Rattus norvegicus: one gene and its partner. The protein of the gene in region 2 binds, or shares a complex with, the protein of the main gene of each other region. Links are inferred from orthologs where the notes say so. Each region holds a gene or a part of one and is shown on either strand. Other genes may lie near its edges. The genes, in order: Polr2d and Gtf2e2.

Region 1 (11,739 bases), on a different chromosome or scaffold from region 2:
TGACCATAGCAGCCCTTATAAGGCTGCAATGAGAGGAGATGGTAATTATGGTCTAATAGTCACAGTAATTATGGTCTAATAGTCCCGGTGAAGACAGCACCTAGAGCATCAATAGCCAGTCTTTGTTTCTTCTCCAAAAGTCAAGCTGTAAGTGTTGGCTCACACCTGTAATCCCAGCACTTGGGAGGCTGAGGCAGGAGGACTGTTACAACTTTGAGAAGTACAGAGAGACATTCTATCTCAGTAAAGCGAAAAGTATGACTAAAGAAGTCCCAGTATCTTCGGAAGCAACAGTCCTGCGTGAGGCCCACCCAGGGTTCCGACTGTAGAGCGGTCTGGAGGCTATCTCAAGGAGCAGAGTGACGTCTGGTGATCAGTACTGGAAGCTGCGCTTCGTCTGGATATCATCAAGAATCTGCTGCAGTTCCTCATCTTCAAAACGCCCTTCCAGGCTAGAAGAAGACCAAGAAATTTAAGTGACTTAGAAACTGGCAGTTTTCCCACCCTGTTTTTTTTTTTAAATAAAGATTTATTCATTTATTATATATAAGTACACTGTAGCTGTCTTCAGACACACCAGAAGAGGGCATCGGATTTCTTTACAGGTTGTGAGCCACCATGTGGTTGCTGGGAATTGAACTCATGACCAAAGAGCAGTCAGTGCTCTTAACCACTGAGCCATCTTTCCAGCCCCCCACCCTGTTTTTCAAAGGAGGTTCATCTCTGAGCACCTTGCTTAGCTCTACTACCTTTAAGTTTAAACCGAATTTCTTTTGACATCCCTTATAGAAGCACCAAAAGGTTGTAAATATATAAAAGATTCTAGGGGTTGGGGATTTAGCTCAGTGGTAGAGCGCTCGTTTAGCGAGCGCAAGGCCCTGGGTTCGGTCCCCAACTCCAAGAGGAAAAAAAAAAAAGATTCTAAAAGCTTCAACAGTCACATATGATTTAAACTTTTGTTTGGTTGGTATAGCTTAGTCTTTTCTTTGAGACCAGGTCTCATTATGCAGCCTTGGCTACCCTAGAACTCACAGGGATCTGCCTGCCTCTGCTGGGATTAAAAACACACACTCCCAGGCCCTGCAGTTTTGTGTCTCATTTGTTGAGTGACTTAATGATTATGTCCAATATCTTCTATACCAATAACACAGAATCCCAGAATACCTTTTAGGTCTGGGAGAAGTCCCATTTCCCATTGATTTCTCTAGATATAGTCACATGCTTGGCTACTCCCTACAGGAAGGCGAATTCTGCCCATTTCTAATGCTCCTCTCTGAGGTACTGGGAGCTCAAACTCAGTCCCAGACACGATAGGCAAAAAGTTCTACCACTGAGCTATATTCCTACCACCCTCTTCTGTTCCATATTCTTCCTGTCCTGGGGTATAAGACAATTATTCTCGGGTTGGGGATTTGGCTCAGTGGTAGAGTGCTTGTCTAGCAAGCGCAAGGCCCTGGGTTTGGTCCCCAGCTCCGAAAAAAAGAATAGAGGGAAAAAAAAAAGACAATTGTTCTCAGGCTTCCAAGATGGTTCAGCTAATAAAGGTTGTCTGCCACCAAATCTAACAACCTGAGTTTAATCTGGGAACCTACCTAGTAAACGAAGAGAAACTGTCCACTGACCCTCACGTGCTTAATGTGACATTCACAGGCATGCGTGTGTACACATGCACACAAACAATTAATGGGTAAACTCAAACTATTCTTAAGCCAGCATGCTCGTTCATGCCTGTAATCCCAGCCCTTGAGGTGAAAGCAGGGCAATCAAGAGCTCAAGGAAAGCCTTGGCTACCTGAGACTGCCACCAGCAAAGCACAAAACCAACCCCCAAGTCCCATCTCAAACACCACTCAACTACACTCTTACTCAACGCTAGCATGGCATCAACCCAACTGCTAAACGCTTACGACATGTGGATCTAGCAATCTGACTTAGAGAAATCCATATAAAATAGACAAACCCCATCCCATCCCGTACGAACCTTGGAATCAGCGCTTTGGACTCCTCAGCAGTCTCCGGGCACAGATTGGCTAAACAAGCCAATTCAAACTTATGTAACTTCTTCTGGAGAAGCAGGCTGAGTGTGAGGGAAATAGAACACAGGACGTTAGAGAGGGACAGAGACAGGAAATGAGCACGATCTATACTATACTATATACCTGAATAAAAATGTCACAATGGAACCTGTAATTACCTGCAGTTATATGCTAATACGAAACAAAAAACTACAGTCTCATTCAGTGCTGGTCAAATGCTAAGTCCATCAATAGCAAAAAGATCAAATGTAGGTGAGAAAAGGTATTTATAATCTTTGATTGTGGCTATATGGGCATCAGAATCCCCCTTTGAAATCACTTTCTGTTCCTACCCCAGAAAATCAAGACGTTCCAGAAAAAGAAAACAAAGAACCCACCGTAGACAGCCAAGAACCCTGAGAAGAGCACAGCTGGGTAAAGAGGAATGTATGTGCTGTAACTACTGCCAAGAAACCAGTAGTTGAGAGTTGCTCTTTTCAGAGGTCCCGGGTTCAATTTACAGTACCCACATGGTGGCTCACAACTGTCTGAAATTCCAGATCCACTGGATCTGATACCCCTCTTTGGACTCTGCCAGTACTAGGCACTTGTGTGGTGCAGAGGCAAACACACACATAAAATAAAATGCAATAATAAATATTCAAGGGGCTGGGGATTTGGCTCAGTGGTAGAGCGCTTGCCTAGCAAGCACAAGGCCCTGGGTTCGGTCCCCAGCTCCAAAAAAAAAAAAAAGAAAAGAAAAGAAAAAAAAATAAATAAATATTCAAAAGGAAGTGACTCTCTAGCTCTTTGCTCTATCTGCTACCTTTGATAAGTTAATGTTAAGCAATTCAGGAGATCTGATTGGCTAGCCTATTGCGTATGTTGAGGGAAACTCCTCTCCTTTAACTTTGAAATACCCCAAACTCTGTGCAAATCTGTGTGTAAGCTGCACCTTCAGGATCTCCATAGCCTGCACTATAAAATAAAGCTTACGAGAGAATAAGTTTGGTTTCCAAATGAATGTAGTAAGAACTTATATACTCTGGGGGACTGGAAAAATGGCTCGGCAGTAACAGCATCTGCTAATTTTCAGAGGACTTGAGTTAACAACTGCACTGGGTGGGTCCATGTGTCTACAACTCCTCTCTGGCCTCTGCTAGTGCTGGCACTGAACACACATGGTGCACATATATACAAGCGTGTATATACATATAAACAAAATAACAAAAAATGATTTTCTGTGCCTAATAGCACACATTCACAGCAGCCTGGTCTACACAGCATGCTCTTCACTAAACAGAGATACAAATCTGTCTCAGTAATAATAACGATGACAATAATATAAATTTTTTCTAAAAAACAAAAGACAGTGTGGTGTTCGACACCTTTAATCTCAAAACAGGTGGATCTCTGTGAGATAGAAAACAACCTGGTCTAATATGGAGTTCTAGACCAGCCGGGGCTAGATAATGAGACTCTGCCTCAAAAAAAAAAAAAAAAAAAAAAAAAAAAAAATATATATATATATATATATATATATACACACATATATATATACACATATATATATATCCAAGTTATATAAAGAAATCCCCTCTCCCCGCCCCCTCATGTGTGTGTGTGTGTGTGTGTGTGTGTGTGTGTGTGTGTGTGTGTATGTGTGTGTATAAAATAAAAATAATATTGCTGATGCCAAGTGCATACTGACTGGAGCCTGATATAGCTGTCTCCTGAGAGGCTCTGACAGAGGCAGATGCTCACAGCCAACCACTGGACTGAGCACAAGGTCTCCAATGGAGGAGTTAGATAAAGGACTAAAGGAGCCAAAGGGGTTTGCAACCCTACAGGAACAATATCAACCAACCAGATTCCATCCCCACAGAGCTCCCAGAGACTAAACCACCAACCAAAGAATACACATGGAGCGACCCATGTCTCCAGCTACATATGTAGCAGAGGATGGCATTGTCTGGCATCAATAGAAGAGGCCCTTGGTCCTGCAAAGACTGGATGTCCCAGTATAGGGGAATGCCAGGGCAGTGAGCTGGGAGTGGGTGGGTGGGGGAGCACCCTCGTAGAAGCAGGGGTTGGAGAGATGGGATAGAGGAGTTCCAGAGGGGAAACTGGAAAGGGGATAACACTTGAAATGTAAATACATAAAATATCCAATAAAAAAAATAATAAAATAAAAATGAATACAAGAAATCGTACCTGGAGGGCAGCGAGTGCATGATGGCATATACTAGTAACCCCAGAATTTGTGATGCAGTGGAGAAAATTTTGACTGAGTCAAGTCTGAGAGCCTTTTTTCTGGTAGGCAAAATTTGGGGGTGGGGGTGGGGGCTTCAAGCCCTTGATTACTTTTTTTTAACAGGTTCTATCTATGTAGTCCTGGAACTTGCTATGTAGACCAGGCTGGAGTCAAACAGAGATTCTCCTGTCTCTGTCTCTCAAATTCTGGGATTAAAGGCATACCCAGTTAGGGTTTTTTTGTTTGTTTGTTTGTTTTTCCCCTAAGTATTTGTGTGTGGTCTGTTTATTTAGCCATTTGTGTGTATGTGTAAGTGCGTAAGCATACATACTTAGAAGGCAACTTCTCATTCATTCTCAGAGCTTCTGGGTGCATCTGGGGTTCTATATAAGCTCAGGTCCTAAGACTTACCCAGAAAGCACTTTTGGTTGCATTTGTTTGTTTGTTCTATAGACCAGGCTGGCATCGAACTCAGAGATATGCTTGCCTCTACCTCCTGAGTGCTGGGTTAAAGGGGTGCACCACCACCTCTTGGCTGAAGCATGTTTTACCCACTGAGCCATCTCAGCGGCCCCTGCTTTGTTAGCATTTTTAAAACAGCGTCTCATGCAATCAAGGCTGGCTTTGAACCTACTATGCCCCTAAGGATGCCCTTGAACTCCTGGATCCTACAGCCTCTGTCTTTCACGAGAGTCTATAATAATAAAACCGTTTTGTAGGGCTGGAGATGCGGTTCAGCAGCTGAGGGCACCAGCTGCTCTTTCAGAGGACTTGGGTTTCGAGTCCCAGCACCTACACAGTGACTCACGACTGTCCGTAATTCCAGCCCTGGGGAGCTAACGCCCTATTCTGGCCTCTGTGGGTGTTTACACACATGGTGCACAGACATACAAGCAGCCAAACTCCCATAACACATACATAAGTAGATTTTAGTTTTGGGCTTATGTTCAGTACTCACCTACGAACACTGGCAATGGTCTCTCTGTTTTTGAACCGGCTGAAACGGGCTGTATAGTTCAGGGTTTTCATGAAAACCTCTGAAAGCTCCTGTTCGTCCTCCGCACTCTCATTCTGCTGCTTTCGGTGCTCCAGAAGCATGTGAACTTCAGAGTTCAGGAGCGTCTCAGCTGTTTCGAACTCTGGAAGAAGAATAAATGTGAACTGAAAATACTCTTTTCAAAGTCTCAGCATTTGGGAGGCAGAGGCAGGATGATCTCTGTGTTTGAGGCCAGCCTGGTCTATTATTGATGAGCTGTAAGATAGCCAGAGAGACTCAAAAACACCAAACAAACGAAACCAGAAGGCTAGAGAAATGAGCATGCACTGCTCTTTCGAAGGAAGTTCAATTCTCAGCACCCCATCAGACACCTCATAGCACCTCTCCCCTCCTCAGATACCTGCACAGACATAATTAAAATAAAAATAAATTTTACAACAGTGACATAAGGGCTGGAGAGACGACAGCTCCGCACTTAAGAGCATTGGCTAATCTTCTAGAGGATAAGGGTTCTGCCACACACAGCACCAACAAGATGGCTCGAAATCATCTTTTAAGTCCAATTAGTACATCTGGCTTCTATGGACACCTCACATGCATGCAGACCTACACGCAGGCAAAATAATCCTTATATATAAAAATTTAAAAACAAAGATTCTCCATCTCAATTAAAAACACACACAAAAGACAGAAGATAACCTCACTTGCTGGGGCTGGGCAGATGATTAAGTGGATAATGTACTTGCCACTCCAGTGTAAGAAGCAGAGTTAGGATCCTCAGAACCCACAAAACAGGTACAGAGGGTTCCTATATCTAACAGTTGGTAGGAAGAGACAGGGGATTGATTTCCTGGGGCAAGGTGACTAGTTTAGACTAGTTTAGTAGCAGGAACAGCACTATGCACAGAGGCTGGCACACATCCGACAAAAGGAAGTACCAGACATCCCAAACCGGAACCCATCTTGCTCTCAAACGTTCTTCCTAACTCGAAAAGCTACAACGAAGGTTCAGAAACCAACGGCAACAGCATCTCTCCTCAGAGGCCAGGGCAGAGAGCACTTCTGACCCACAGATCTTGAAACGCTTTGACTAGCACTGTGAGAGGAACCATAGCTCAGCTTTTACTGGCTGCCAATTTTGAAATGAGACCTCTGCTCCAGATCTTCTGCATGACAGGAAAAGGCATAGCTTAACTCCCCCTAAAAATCAAGAGCGATGGCGCATGCCTTTAATTCTAGCACTCAAGAGGAAAGGGCACGAATGTGATAAGGTGGAGGCTAGCCTAGGATACCTAATTAGACGCTCTCACAAAAACAAAACTGCTGGGTGTAGGGGAATTAACTACGAAAGGGTTCATTTGTACCGGGCTGACCAATCAATCCCCCGTGCCGGCCCCGAATGCTCCCTGTGGGCAGGGAACGGATAACGACTATAACTCAAGGACAATGTCACCTCAGAGTCGAACTGTCCCGGATACTACCTTTGGGAAAGATGAGCTGGGAAGCATCTTCTTCTACGTCGCCAGCTCGAGGATCGCTTCCACCTGCCGCCATCGCCCTGCGCACTGCCACAGACACTGCCGGAGACGGAAGCCGCACGGACGGGCTCTTCTAAGGAAAAGAACCAATCCGGCTCCGGGGTGGGGCCAAGTGAATGGGCGGGGCCGAGAAAGCGGGCGGACGACGGTAGGTCAGGCACCCTGCTATCACACTAGGGGAAACCCGCGAGACTGCCCGCGACAGGGGCGGTCCGGGCGCAGTCTAGCGGCTTCCGGTCGTTGGAGGTGTGGTTCTGTGCTGCCTGCTTGGAGATTAAAGTGTTTATTTTCGGCAACACACTATTGCCGTGGCACCTGGGAGCGTCAAGTAAGCCATTTCAGAAGAAAGTGAGGTGCAGGACTGAACTAAGTGGCTGATCCAAGGAATGTCCTATGTTGAAAAGCTGGGTAGGTGACTACAGAAACATACTGAAATCTCTTTCAATGATTGAATTGTGTCTTAAGAAAAAAAAAAAAAGACTAACCCCTGTGTGGTGGTAATGAATCAATCACTGAGCGCGAGGATCAAGAGTTGAAGGAGATCAGTTTGTAGTGGCGCATGCCTTTAATCCTAGCATGCCCGAGGCAGGCAAAGGCAGGTGGATCTTTTGAATTTGAGACTAGCCTGGTTTACAAAGTGATATAAAACCAGGGCTACATAGTGAGATCTTGTCTCAAAAAAAAAAAAAAAATTCACAAAGAGGCGTGGCTACTTAGCAAATTCCCAAGAATCCATGCCAGTTTAGGTAACATACCATCCTGTTAAATTGTTCCTGTGTATTTAACAATTCTGAGCAGGTGAAGTTTAATATTGAGAACCCTTTATCATATCTGTTGAGACATTTGAATAAGTAGAAAGCTAAATGAAAAAGTGATATTTTCAATTTAAAGAGAAACAAAAGTCTATACAATAAGGGGGACAAACACTTCTCCAGTTTTTGGGTCATTAGTGAACACTAGTAAACCCTGTAACTTAATAAAAAATGGGCTGGAGAGGTGGCTCTGTGGTTAACACTTGATGCTTTCAGAGGGCCTGGGTTCATTTCCCAGCACCCACACCAGATGGCTCACAAACACCTGTGACTTCAGCTACAAGGGATCTAAACCCTTTCTGGTCTCTCTTTTGGAGGTGAAACACACCATACACACCCTTCACATACACAGAAAATAAATCTTTTTAAAAATTGATAGAAGTATTTATTACAAGACAAGAAAATGTATTTTTATTATATATACAGAGGTGCACAGAAGAGATTAGAGGATAATTTTGTGGAATTTGTTCTCTGTTTCCAGTTTTGCATAGATTCTGGGGATTGAACTCAGGGCCTTTATCTGCTGCATGATCTCACTGGTCCAAGAATAGGTAGTCTTTTGGTTTGTAAATAAAATGAGTTTTACAAAACTGCTGTGTATCTATATTTGTAGAAGGAATGCATTGGTTAAAATAAATGGTTATATAGTATTGACAGCTTTTTAACCATTTCTCGGTGCTTTCCTGAACAGCATGTGAGAAATCACAACAGGGACTGGAGAGACCTCCCAGCAGTTAAGAGCATGGCTGCTCTTACAGAGGTCATGGATTCAGTTCCTAGCATCTACATGGTGTCTCGCACAGTCTATAACTATTGTCCATGGTGTTCTAGTGTGCAGACATACATGTAGACAAAATACCCATACTCATAAATAAACCTTAAAGCATAAGACCTTTATAACAGACATGCTCCAGCTTATCAGAACTCCTGCAAAGATATTCAGGGCAGTAGTTCATAGTCATACTGCACCTAGGTAGTAGAAATGGACTTGAGATTCAGTACACACACACACACACACACACACACACACATAATACACATACACATACATACACACATAATACACACATATACACATACACATACATACACACATATATACACACATACACATAATACACACATATACACATACACATACATACACACACATATATACACATACGCACATACACACACACACACACACACACACACACACACACACACACACACAGAGGCATGAAAGGAGGGAGGAGGAGAGAAGTCACCAGGCATAGAGAGAGAAAACAAGAGTAACAAAAACATAAAGTGACATTTCCCAGGTTGGCCCATGTGTACCATTTTCATTTAGGAAGCCATTATAAGCCATCTGTAAGTCCATGAGGTTAAAATGATGAGTAGGGTAAAAATCTGTCCCGAACATGAGCTCACTAAGAGTAGCGAGTGCAATATCTGACGGGTGATGTAACACAGTCAAAGAAGGTGCTAAGGAAAGATCAAGAGTCCGATGTTTGGCTGTAGTTTAAATGTGTCTCCTAAAGCTTCGTGTCCTGGAAGTCAGAACTGCGTAGGAGGTAGGGACTAGAACTGGAGAGGAGGTTCAGTTATGACAGTGCTTGCTTTTGCCAGCATGCGGACCCAGATTTCATCTGGGAGAAAGTTCGAGGGATATGAGTGGACAAGGAAAGGAAAAGCAGCCTCCCTTAGATTCCATGTTCACAGAAGAACATTTCTCATTGGGAGAAATGGCAGAGGAGCATGAGGACGGGCATCTAAACAGGAAGAGGCGATCCCAGGGGCCCCAGAAAATATTCAAACCACAGTCTACTCAGGAGTTCCAAGTGTTAGGCTTTTATTCCTTTTACTTCCCCCCTCTCCAGGGCTTGGTCTTCTGTCTGTCCCTGGTGTTCAGTTCTTTTTTTTTTTTTTTTTTTTTTTTTTTGGTTCTTTTTTTCGGAGCTGGGGATCGAACCCAGGGCCTTGCGCTTCCTAGGCAAGCGCTCTACCACTGAGCTAAATCCCCAACCCCTCAGTTCTTTGTCAGTATCAGGGCCACCAGCACCCTTGTTACAGATCATAAGAACCCACATAAAGTGCTCATTATCCCAGCCCTGAGAGGAAGAAGATATATACAATCCCAAGAGCTCTCGGGCCGTGTAAATCAAGGATGGTGAGAGACCTGCCTCAAAGAAATTGGATGGCATTCCTGAATAGGGATCCAATATCATTTTCTGCCATGTACATGGACACACGTGTACCTGCAGACACATGAACATCCATACACAGAAAGAGAGAGAGAGATGTCTTGGTGTCTAAAGGCACTTTCTACTAAGCCAGAGGAACTGAATTTAATTGGTAGGAGAAAACCGACTCCCAAAAGTTGTCCTCTGACCTCCATACATGCACCAGAGGCATATATGTGTGCATACATGCAAACTATAAAAATTGCTTTAATGAATTTTTAAAAAGAACTGAGGTCTAGTGGGATGCCCTTAGATATTGGGGGCATGGCCTTAGGAGGAATTAATGTATTTTGTACTCTTTGCACACCAGACCGTGCATCTCACCTTTATCATGTTCTCTTTCCCTTTTATATCCATGATGCCATGTGAAGGGAGGTCCTCACCAAAGCACCATGCCCTTCAACTTTCAGAACCCTGTGGTTCTGCAGGTTAAGCTTGATATGTAATCCTGACTGTCAACTTGAATGGCTTTTATCCACTGAACTTCATCTTTGCTCTTGTCAGGGATTCTGGCATTGTAAAAATCTGAGGGAGAAATGCACTTTTTGCTCCCACATAACACAGCTAAATGTCTTGATCATCTTGATTTTTTTTTTGGTAATTTTTTAGATTTGTTTATTATTTTGAATGCATAAGTGTTTTGGCTGTGTGTATGTCTGTGCACCGCTTGTGTGCCTGGTGCCCAAGGAGGTGGTGAGCTTCTGGGTGGGTACTGAGAATTGAGCCTGGGTCCTTTGAAAGAACAAGTGTTCTCAACCACTGAGCCAACTCTCCATCTTGTTAAGGATGGATTTACTGGCCAAGCAGGGGTGGTGCATGCCTTTAATCCCAGCACTCCGGAGGCAGAGGCAGATGGATCTCTCTGAGTTCAAGGTCATGCTGGTCTATGAAGGGAGTTCTAGGACAGCCAAAAAGCCTACACAGAGAAAGCCTGTCACAAAAACAAACAAACAAAAATGATGGACTTACTTTAACAAAGATTTGGAAAACTTGTCCTCCCAGGTACTGAAGTAAATAAGCAAGACATGACCAGAAAGACTTTCTCAGGAACATAATAGTGTCCTGCTACCTTCTCATGACTACAGGATGGAAAGCATCCCGGAAGTTGTGTTGCCTCAGGCAGAGCAGGTCTTTAAACTGAAGATCTGATGGGGCGGCAAATGCAGATGGTTCACTATAGTTGAGATTACGTAGTGAGTTCTGGGCCAGCCCAGGCTACATAGTGAAACCCTGTCTCAAAGTAACAAAACCTTCAGCTCTCAAGCCAGTAAGATGACTCTGATCTCATTGCTACCAAAGATCATGACCTGAGTTCAGTCTGAGACCCCACATGGTGGAAAGAGAACCAGTTCCCAAAAGTTAGATGCTCACACAGGTACAGGCACACAGATACACAAATTAAACAAACAGCCCAGGTCTCTGGACTGGGATATAACTCAATGGTAGAGTACTTGCCTAGCATGTGAAGTCTTGGGATCAATCCTCAGAAAGACACCACACACACACACACACACACACACACACACACACACACACACAAAGAAATATCAAGACAGCCTAAACTTGGAGGTTTTCAAGCCTAGATGTCACAGATTCTTTGGAGAATCACACAAAACTTCAAGTAGGCTCCATCCTTTTGTATCTCTGATTACATTAATAACGAAGGGAAGGGTTACATGAGCTGCATGGTCATGTGCCTTTCGTTGTACCTGGACCTTCTCTGCAACATTTACTAGCTGTCTTCCAACAGCAAGGAAGCTCTTTACTAAACAAAGCATCAACTCCCGAGAAAGTTGTTCTCTGACCTCTGACACAGGTACTGTGGCATGCGCACACACGCGCGCACACACACGCTCACACACACACACACACACACACACACACACACACACACACACG
Region 2 (11,197 bases):
CCCAGAGCCAGTAATAAAACCTTTTAAAAATAAAAACTAAGGAAATAGCCGCAGGATTCATGTCCTGGCTGGTTCTGTGTGTCAACTTGACACAAGCTGGAGTTATCAGAGAGAGAGGAGCCTCAGTTGTGGAAATGCCTTCGTGAGACCCAGCTGTAAGGCATTTTCTCAATCAGTGATCAAGGCAGGAGGGCCCTGCCCATTGTGGATGGTGCCGTCCCTGGGCTGGTGGTCCTGGATTCTATAAGAGAGCAAGCTGAGCAAGCCAGGGGAAGCAAGCCAGGAAGTAACATCCCTCCATGACCTTTGCATCAGCTCCTGCTTCCTGACCTGCTTGAGTTCCAGTTCTGATTCCTTTGATGAACAGCAATGTGGAAGTGTAAGCTGAATAAACCCTTTCCTCCCCAACTTGTTTCTTGGTCATGATGTTGTACAGGAATAGAAACCCTGACTAAGACCATTCAAAACTAAATTCTACTTGGCACAAGTGAGATATCAGCATAAGAAAACAGGAACTGGGGCTAGAAAGTTGGCTCAGTGGTGAAGACACTGGGCTGCTCTTGCAGAGGACCTGGGTTTGATTCTAAGCAGTCACAAGGTGGCTCACAAAGATCTGTAACTTTAGTTTCAAAGGCTCTCGTACCCTCTTCTGGCCTCTGTTGGGCATCAGGAATGCAAGTGGTGCAAAAAAATACATGCCAGCAAAAACATTCATTAAAAAAATAATTAAATCACAAGGCACTACACTGTAATTTCATGTACAAATGACTTAAAACCTTTCAAGTGAGCATTTCAGCGCATTCTAGGATGTGATAGTAGATATGTGTCTTTTAGCTATAAGCTAAGAGATGGTGATGCTAAAATCGCCAACAATATTAATTTACAATATAAGTATTGCGAGCTTTATCACCTTAAAACTGTGACATACTTGCAACTTTAAGATCTACAGAAAATGTCTCACCTTCATCCACAGAAAACTGACAGCTTTTATCATTGAAGAATAGTATTTTCTTCTTATCAGGACGACTTACAAATAGAATCTGGTCCCCTAAAGCCTTAAAGATAAAAAAAAATTAATTAACATCAAATTACTCATTTAAAAACACACACTATACATATGATACACATACTCTCTCACACACACATATCTGTATCTATATATAGGGAGGAAAGAGAGAACACAAAGGCTTTTCTTTCAACCCACAGTCATCATTAGAGCCTACGTGCTCCAGGTTGGAGCTGAATTTCTTTCTTTACTAATTTTATCTCCGTGGATACTTTCAGATTTCTTAGATAACTGTCAAAGAACATAAAGGTCTATGTGTGTCTCTGTTTCTGTGTCCTTGTTAGTGCTTGAAGAAATGCAGAATCCAGATATCGACTTTGGGTATCTTCTTCCTCATCTTGTTTTGTGGGACAGCATCTCTCACTGAACCTAGGTGAGCTAGAGAACCCCTGAGAGCTACTTGTTTTAATGTGCCCTGGAGCTGGTACTGGTACTGTTGCCTGGGCACTGGGGACCTGAACTCAGGCTCTCATGCTTGTCCAACAAGTATTTTACTGACTACAAAACATCCTCAGCCCTCAAACTTCATCTATTTTTTTTTAAGTATAGAATAGAGGTTATACAGGGCATGGGGAGGGAAGTTGAGAGGGCAGTAGAGACAGAGAAAGGCAGAGAGAGAGAGTAAAGGAGTATAGGCCAGCCATTAGCACATGGGAGGGGGGTTGAGATGGGGGAGCAGGAGGGAGAGGACAGAGCTAGAGCAATAAGGCAAGAGAGCCAAAATTTCATCTTTTAAAACAAAATGTAAACCAGGAAGTGCCACATGCTTTAATCCCAGCACTCCGGAGGCAGAGGCAGGTAGATCTCTCTGAGGCCAGCCTGGTCTACAGAGCAAGTTCCAAGTCAGGAAGGGCTACACAGAGAAATCCTGTCTAGAAAAACCAAAGCCAAAAGAAATAAAATTAGATAACTGGATCAACAAAAATGCAATGTACACATATAACAAACAAAGGGGAGGAAATCCTCCCATGTGCTGCAACAGTTGAACCATAAGGATATAAAAATAAGCTAGTCACAAAAACACAGACACTGGTAAGGTCAGACTCAAACACACTGGTAATGGCTACAAACAGTGGGGAAAGAGTAGTTGTTGAAAGGTGCTGTTCAGTTATGCAAAACAACAACAGTTCGGGAAATCTTGAGCATTAGAATATGACTATAACCCCTCTGAATTATACATTTAAAATAAGTAAGGTCAGGCTGGAGGGCGCTTCCATAGTTAAGACACTTGTTCAGTCCCATGCACCCACTTGGTGGCTCCTGAACAACTGTAACTCCAGCTGCAGGGATCCAACACGTCTTCTGCACTCCACCAGCACCAGGTATGCACACGACTCACATACACAACAGTCATTATCTACAACATCTATACAGGTCAAAATTTGATGCCATGAAGTTAAAATTTAAGATAGTTCTACTTTTGATAAATCTACACACTGGATCTTGAACATTTCCCAAAAGACCCACATTTTAAGGCATGGCCTCAGGGTGGCACAGTAGGAGCCAGGTAAGATAAGTCATTAGATCACCAAGGGAGTGACTGCGACTCTCTTTTCCTTCCTGGGCATGAAGGTGGTGGTACTTTTGCATTACTATATGCTCCTGCCATGGTAGACTGTCTCATAAAACTGAGCATGGACTGAAACCTCTAAAATCATAAGCTAAAATAAGCCCTTTGTTTGTAACTCTGATTATGTCAATTATTTCACTGTGGTTCAGGAAAGCTGAATAACACGTGAGAAGCTCGTCTGGTGGTGTTATATCACCAGGGCTATCCGTCAGTCCAGCACCCAGGATGTCAACAGGAGGACCAGGAGTTTAAGGCCAGTCTTAGGCATGTGAAGTCTTATCTCAAAATCAAAAGACAGCCCAGGGTAGACACAGACACAGACAGACAGACAGACAGACAGACACACACACACACACACACACACACACACACACACACACACACACACACACCCCTCTTTAGTCCCAGCATTCGGGAGGCAGACATTTCTGTGAGTTTAAGAACAGCCTGGTTTACAAAAAGTGGTTCATGCTGGGCAGAACTATATAGTGAGACCCAGACTCTCTCCTCCACTGCTACACCTCCCAAAAGAGACCATTTCATTCCTTCAGAGGCATTTAGTTGATGCTGGGTAAGCTGGAGGTCCAGTTCAGCCATTCAGCACTTGCTCAACATGCAATGGCAACAAGAAGCTTTTACAAGTGAGTCTCAGAGTTAACCCAAAATGTCGTGTTCATAACCCTAACTTTCACTGCAAACTCCTTAGGACATCAGAACTTGTTAGTAAGCAATGGCCTTAGTATGCTTTAATGCCTCTAGTTCCCGGTGTAAGCATTATCAAACACTATTGTTGGAAGAGTTTTTATTTCAAATAACAAGAAAACCAATGTCTTTGAGAAAAACTTTCTAGAACTCTTCTGAAGAATTAAACCCTGATGCAACATAAAAACAAAACAAAAGCCACCCCCCCCCAAAAAAAAAACCTGTTAACATTACACAGAGATGATTATTTTCTTTCTGGCTCTGTGGCACCGAGTGTTTTTAGTTTGTGAGTATAAGTGCTTTGTCTAACTGCAGGTATGAGTATTGTGTATGGCCTAGCCCTCAGAGGTCAGAAGAGAAGCCACTATCCCTGTGACGTGGAGTTAGACATTGCTGTGAGCCACCATGTGGGTGCTGGGAACAAAATCAACTGCTAAACCATCTATCCCTCCAGCCCCACAAAGTTCAAACTTTAACTGGATCACTAAGACGCCAGGATAAACACTTTAAAAAGAACTCCATATCCCCCCAATCCTAACCCTAACCCTAACCCTAGGACCCAAGTTCAGGTCCCGTCACCAACAGCAGGCAGCTCACACTGCCTGTAGCAGCTTCAGCTCCAAGGGATCCAACAACATGCTCTCCTTTCCTTGACGTGGGCAGATACCCAGACACATACATAAAAACAAATATATCTGAAAAGCATAGGAAGCCGGGCATGGTAGCACATGCTTTCACTCCCATTTCTCAGGAGGTAGAGGCAAACAGACCTCTGAGTTCCAGGACAGCCAGGGCTACACAGTAAGACCCTGTCTCAGGAGATAAAGAAAATTTTAAAAAAGACATTACCAATTCAATCTATAGCTACGATGTAGGAGGAAAAGAATGATTACCTTGACAGCTTTCTGAGAATTAGGCAATCCCTCTTCTATGTCTTCTAAGAGAATGCCTCCCAGTCCTCGCTGGTCATGGTTATCTAGAAGCCTGAGCAGGGCCTTCTTATCTTTCAAGTTGTACTTAGGTTTGAAGGCGTATTTCCCATCTACTACTTCAATTTTGGGATTGTTGACTAAAGCCTGTAAAAAGAAACACAATTTAGATATATGTATAAAAGCAAACCTCATGTGTATGTCCTTAAATTCTTACATCCCCCACATAGTGGCATATTGAAGTATCTTTTTTTTTCTTTTCTTTTTTTCGGAGCTGGGGGCCGAACCCAGGGCCTTGCGCTTGGTAGGCAAGCACTCTACCACTGAGCTAAATCCCCAACACCCCTTTGAAGTATCTTATAAACATAAACTAGCAGACCTGAAACACTGGGCATCTAGGATCCCAGAACAAGTGGATCAGCACAGAGCTTGCCGCTTATTTAAAAAGAATGAAAGATCTATACATTATTTGCATACATTCTTTAGAGAGAAACCTGTTTATCACAACTGCTTTGAAGAACCTTTATTCTTTTAGAAGACAAGGTAAGAATCAAAAAAATACCTATTAGTAGACACAGTGAACTAGGTATCACCTACTCCTCCTCCAAAGTATACCCAGTCTATCTCGTACTGGCAAAAATTAGTCAACAGTAAGTCCTCCTCTCCTGGCATCAGCTGAAACTGAAGCTGTGGAGAGAACAGAAGGCCAGCCTAACGCACATGGAAACGTTACCTCTAATGTCAATAGAACACAGCTACTGAACCTAACATTCTTACAAGATCTGGTACCAAGCTACTGTCAGAAGGAAAGCTCCTCAAGAACAGAGCAACCGGGGCTGGGGATTTAGCTCAGTGGTAGAGCGCTTACCTAGGAAGCGCAAGGCCCTGGGTTTGGTCCCCAGCTCCGAAAAAAAGAACCAAAAAAAAAAAAAAAAAGAACAGAGCAACCCAGCCTGGTAGTAAAGGAGCTCCCAGTTACTCAGTAGGCTAAAACAGGAAGATTAGACAGTGAAAACCACCTAGGTTACAGGTACACTAGGTCAGCCTGTGCAACTTAGTGATTAAGTCTCAAAGCAAAAAGTTAAAAGGAAGGCCAGAGATACAGCTCAGTGAGTACTTGACTAATATATAAAGTCCTTCCTGTGTCCAAGCCATAGTACCAAAAAGAGAAAAAAGAAGCCTACATACTTCTTTCTCAATTGCCAATCAGGCACAGAAAAAGAGAAAGAAAATGAAACAGAATAGTACTGACTAAAAATAATCTTTGGGCGGCAACATGGTTCAGAGTTCTCTAAAAGCACTTGACACAGAATCCTGACGACACATGTTCAACCCCACATATGGGTAAGAACAAGAGAGTAAACGCTGATGATAAACAGAACTGCCTTTGGCTGCTCCATGCGAACTGTGGCACACATGTACCTACCCACCCTTATGCTCATAACGACAGATAAAATTTTTAAAAATGTAAAACTTGAGTGTTGCTAACTATATGGAACTACATTTACGTAACTCTGCATACTTAGCTATGGATTACCATCATCTGTGTGTCACCAATATTTATTATCATCATCTACAACATCTCCGTGTAAACAGATTCAAGTTAAAAATCTTAGGTAGAGCTGGCTGTGGAGACTCTACCTGTACTCTCGGCAGTTAGGAAGCTGAGGCAGGAAACTACTGCCAAGTGAGAGCCAGCCTGAACTACAGGGTACGATTTTAGCTAGAAGTAGTGGTGCAAACCTCTGACCCCAGTACTTGGGAAACAGATGGATCTCAGTGAGTTTGAGGCCAGCCTGGTCTATACAGTGAGTTTAGGACAGCCAGAACTACACAGTGAGACCCTGTCTCAAAAAAAAAAAAAAAAAAAAAAAAGAAAGAAAACAAAAACAAGCAAAAAATCACACATATATTGGGGCTGGGGATTTGGCTCAGTGGTAGAGCACTTACCTAGGAAGCGCAAGGCCCAGGGGTTGGGGATTTAGCTCAGCGGTAGAGCGCTTGCCTAGCGAGCGCAAGGCCCTGGGTTCGGTCCCCAGCCCCGGAAAAAAAAAAAAAAAAAAAAAAAAAAAGGAAGCGCAAGGCCCTGGGTTCGGTCCCCAGCTCCGAAAAAAAAAAAGAACCAAAAAAAATCACACATATAAAAAGAATAAAGCAAAACCAGAGCAATCTTAGGTGGGTTCTGATTCTAGTAACAGGTAAGTGACGGAAGTCGTGACCTTCAATGATTTGGACTAAGTCAAATCATTTTATAGTATGAAAATCAAGAACTACATCTTGCTGGATAAAATAAATTCAGTTAGGCCAGTCATGGTAGCAAATGTATTTAAAAAGACTATGTGGGGTTGGGGATTTAGCTCAATGGTAGAGCGCTTGCCTAGCAAGCGCAAGGCCTGGGTTCGGTCCCCAGCTCCGGAAAAAAAAAAAAAAGAGAGAGACTGTATTTTATGTAAATGAGTTCATATATATACATACACTTTATGTATGAGTATGCTATCTTCAGACACAGCAGAAGAGGGCATCGGATCCCTTTACAGATGGTTGTGAGCCACCATGTGGTTGCTGAGAATTGAACTCAGGACCTCTGGAAGAGCAGCCAGTGCTCTTAACCACTGAGCCATCTCTCCAGCCCAGCACATGTCTTTAATCCCTGCATTTGGGTGGCAGAGGCAGGAGGATGGGAGGATGTCTATAAAAACCTGCCTGAAATAAATAAATGAATAAATGATTAATTATATCGGGTTGTTTAGGGATATTTCATGTTTTAAATGTTGCCAGGCTGGCTTTGAACTCACTATGGAACTAACAATGCCGTAAACTTGGGGTCCTTCTGCTTTGATATCCCAAGTGCTGGGATCACAGACATGTGCCACTATATCCCCGCTCATATTGGTCCTCAGACATATCACTGGTCTTGAACATATTATTCTTCAGTACCAATAGACTTTAAAGAAGCGAACACCCAAATAGATAAGATGTAAGATGTCGTTCACTTGCAAACTGGCATGGTTGGTGACTGTTTTAGGCTTCCTTCAAGGTGGTATTTATTTAACATAACAATCATATTATTCCTCTAAGTAACTAGAAATGATAACTCATTTGCTATAATGCAATAAAATGTTACTGTCCCTAACGCCTTAGGCTTTAAGTTTTCTAAAGCACACATGCAATATATAACTTACAAGCAATTCAAAATACTATTTATGAAAATGAAAACAAAATTGGTGACTGACTTCACAGCTCTACTGTAGTCTTAGAAGACTTTCTAAAACATAAATAAAATTATAATATTATGTGGAAACCAACAACCAAATTATAGAAATGTGTATGTTTAAATTCAACCAAGACTCTACATCAAGTCTTTTAAGAAAAAGTAAAAAGTATTAACAAATTACAGGATTTATTTAAAGAACAAAGAAACACTCGGAGCCAAGCATGGTGACTCTTGAAGCTAAAGCAGAGTGCCCTGAGTCCGAAGTCAACACACACTACGAAAGACCCTGCGTTGCCTGCCTGCCTGCCTCCCTCCCCCACTCACACACACACACATACACACACACACACACACACACACACACACACACACACACCTCTAGATAGATGTAGCAAATACCCATTTTTACAAGTTTTAAGAGTCGTCTTACCTCTGTCATTAGCCATTGTTTCTGCTTGAGTCCAATGTCTAAGTGCTGTGTTTCATCCAAAATCTCTTCCAGAGTTAAGGGATGCGTATCTCCTCGCTGATGTCGTGTCTGTAGAGGAAAGTTTTATATGTAAACTGATATAAACTGATCTTTTCAGGAATATACAACATGTAATATCTGAGGCAGTATGACTACCAGGATCAACAACATGAAATCATACAAAACCAGATTGGTAAAAAGTCAAACGATAAACTAACAAGGAAAAACATCAGTTTTCCAACTTTAAGCCAGGTATGGGAGTACACACCTGTAACCGCAGTATGTGGGATGCTTAGGCAAGAGAGTCCTAAGTTGAAGACCAGCCTAGGCGAAATGATGACTTCAAGTCTAGCCTAATCTACATAAAAGTTCAAAACTGATAGAGGGTACATAACAAGATGAAGATGTATTGATCTGGAAGAGGAGGATGACAGCAAAAACAGACTTTCCTTTTTTTTTTTTTTTTGGATCTTTTTTTCGGAGCTGGGGACCAAACCCCGGGCCTTGCGCTTCCTAGGTAAGCGCTCTACCACTGAGCTAAATCCCCAGCCCCAAAAACAGACTTTCCTAGTTATTGCAAATCAATTAAACAAAACTTGCAGGAAACCATAGATAACAGAAAAAGAAATTCAAATGTCCTTAAACATAAACAGACAACTCGCCAAGATGCTTCTCACGATCAGATAGAAAACTATGAATGTCTGATGCGTCATAGGAAATAGGCTTTCTCACTGACTATCACAATATAAAGTACCTCGACCCTTACAGGAAACAAAATGCACTCTTAACAGCATGACCATTGGTGAGGACTAATTTAGCTACAGCACAATAAATGCTATATAGTTGTTTTCTTTTAAACAGGAAGTTGTCTGTGTGGCCATTTCACTATTGGACCATAGTCGTACGCTCATGCTTCAAGAAAAGGTCACCTCTAGTGTCCTCCACTGTGGTAAAAGGGATGGGCTGGACACAAACAATGAGATCACCGATGGCAACTTCCGTAAGTAGATCCAAAAGCTGATCAGGGATAGACTGTACACACACACACACACACACACACACATATATATTGCCAACTTATGAATGCCAAAGGTGGTAACCCAGAGGTGGGGGATGTGGCTCCTGAACGGGCCTCTCAGAAGACAGTGAGATTCTAAGATTAATCCAGTCACCGCGCTGTGCACCTGGATGTTAAGGGAAATGTGTTCTAAAGTAAGTGGCTTCTCATGGGACACATCCATCTAAAAGGTGAACAAGATACCACAGGGATAAGACAGCAGGATTAAGGACTGAGAATGACTTGTGTCTCAATCTTTTCATATTATTCTATATTTTATATTTATTCTGTATTTTCAAAGGTCTTATACCTGTCTTTTCTGTGTACATTTTAGTATGGTGTGTGTGTGTGTGTGGGTGTGTGCGCGCGTGCGGGCGCGCGGGCGCGCGGGCGCGCCCCTGCGTGGCTCACACATGCACGCACATATCTGCTAGCACTTTCTCTGAGGTTCTCACTTCTTGCTGTAAAATCACTGTGTTGATTTGAATAGTCAGGACCCCGAAGACTCATGTGTTTGAATGTTTGGCCCATGGGGAATGGCACTATTTGGAGGTGTGGCCTTGGAAGGAAGTGTGTCACTGGAGGGGAGGGGGAGGGGGAGGACTTTTCTCAAAGTCTCCTATGCTTAAACTCTGTCCACTACGGAACTCATCTTCTCTCTTGCCTTCTGGATCAAGATGGGATTAAGATGTAGAACTCTTGGCTCCTTCAGTACCGTATCTGCCTGGATGCATGATAATGAACTGACCTCTGACACTGTAAATCAATTAAATGTTTGCCTTTATAAGAGTAGCACTGATTATGGTGTCTCTTGAAGCAATGAACTACAACAATCCCTGCATCTACCTCGGTTGCCCTATAACTCTCCTTGAACTTTCCATAGTTTTTAGTGAGCAACTAAAGAGGTCTACTGCAAGTATTTGTGATGTTATATTTACCTATTTTGCTTTTGAAGTTCCTTTTATAGATCCTCTAAAAGGAGAGAAACAGGACAACTGACAAACCTTGCCAGTTTACAAGTTACTTTCTATTAGATATGCACACTTGCCCTTTAAAAACAGGCCTTAGGAGAAAGGAGGGAGAAAGGAAGAAGGGATACAGCCCGCTTCCACTCACAATTTGCAAGGGTTTTGCTTAAATTCAGGCACATTCAATCTTTTGACACTATGACACAGTTGTCATCTACAAAGTCCATACACCAGACCTTGCAACAAAGATAAAATAACAAAAAACTGTTTAAAAAGAAAATCTAATATAGCTCAGTGAGCAGAGTGCCTGCCCAGCACACATACAGCCTAACTAGGCATGGCACCACACCCATAACCCTAGCACTGGGAGCTCAGGGAGCTGGGGACAGGAGGGTCAAAGCCATCCTCTAGACAGTGAACTGAGGCCAGCCTAAAGTGGTGCTCAGTAATAAAAGATGATTGCTTAGCATGCACAAAACCCAGAGTTTGATCACCAACACTGTCCTCCCATGCCTCCACACAGACACAGGGCACTTTGGCCCTACCTACAACACTCCAAATTCTCATATACTTTGTAAAACTGATCGGCTCCCCTTTTAAACAACTTCTCCTCTTCTAATCCTAACGTACTTCAACTCCATTCAGTATTATCCAAGAGTGCACTGTTCTCAGGAAAGTGTGAGATAAAAAACAAAGAGAATAACACCCCCAATCCAAATATTTAAATCTAAGTAATTTTCTTCAGGACTCCCAAAGTTCATTCCTTAACTATTAATTTTGGGGAAAAATGTATATTTAAAGAGCTAAAGCGGGGCTGGGGATTTAGCTCAGTGGTAGAGCGCTTACCTAGGAAGCGCAAGGCCCTGGGTTCGGTCCCCAGCTCCAAAAAAAAGAACCAAAAAAAAAAAAAAAAAAAAAAAGAGCTAAAGCAGTATCTACTGGGAAGCCATTTCCTTTAAGTAACAAAAATATTTACTAGGACTACCAAGCTGTTCTAATTATGCTACGTAAAAACCCATTAAGTGGTATATACCTTTAATCCCAGAGGCAGAAGATCTCTGTGAGTTCCAGGCCATCCAGAACAACATGGTAAGACCATGTCTTTAAAAATTAAAAATAGGGGTTGGGGATTTAGCTCAGTGGTAGAGCGCTTGCCTAGGAAGCGCAAGGCCCTGGGTTCGATCCCCAGCTCTGAAAAAAAGAACCAAAAAATAAAAAATAA

Evidence for each region.
Region 1: Gtf2e2 (region 2) and Polr2d share a complex: the UniProt entries of both Homo sapiens proteins name them as parts of the TBP-based Pol II pre-initiation complex. The link is inferred for Rattus norvegicus from reciprocal best matches to the Homo sapiens genes GTF2E2 and POLR2D.

The regions. Positions count from the first base shown.
Region 1 is NC_086036.1:23,687,713-23,699,451, reverse strand, and holds the start of Polr2d (DNA-directed RNA polymerase II subunit RPB4), read right to left. Parts: upstream 6,875-11,739; 5' UTR 6,820-6,874; coding exon 6,747-6,819; intron 5,408-6,746; coding exon 5,227-5,407; intron 2,077-5,226; coding exon 1,981-2,076; intron 453-1,980; coding exon 374-452; 3' UTR 1-373. UniProt on the Homo sapiens protein: Core component of RNA polymerase II (Pol II), a DNA-dependent RNA polymerase which synthesizes mRNA precursors and many functional non-coding RNAs using the four ribonucleoside triphosphates as substrates.
Region 2 is NC_086034.1:65,117,138-65,128,334, forward strand, and holds part of Gtf2e2 (transcription initiation factor IIE subunit beta), read right to left. Parts: exon of another isoform or gene 11,075-11,197; coding exon of another isoform or gene 11,009-11,074; intron 8,020-11,008; coding exon 7,912-8,019; intron 4,415-7,911; coding exon 4,232-4,414; intron 1,056-4,231; coding exon 962-1,055; intron 1-961. UniProt on the Homo sapiens protein: Recruits TFIIH to the initiation complex and stimulates the RNA polymerase II C-terminal domain kinase and DNA-dependent ATPase activities of TFIIH. Both TFIIH and TFIIE are required for promoter clearance by RNA polymerase.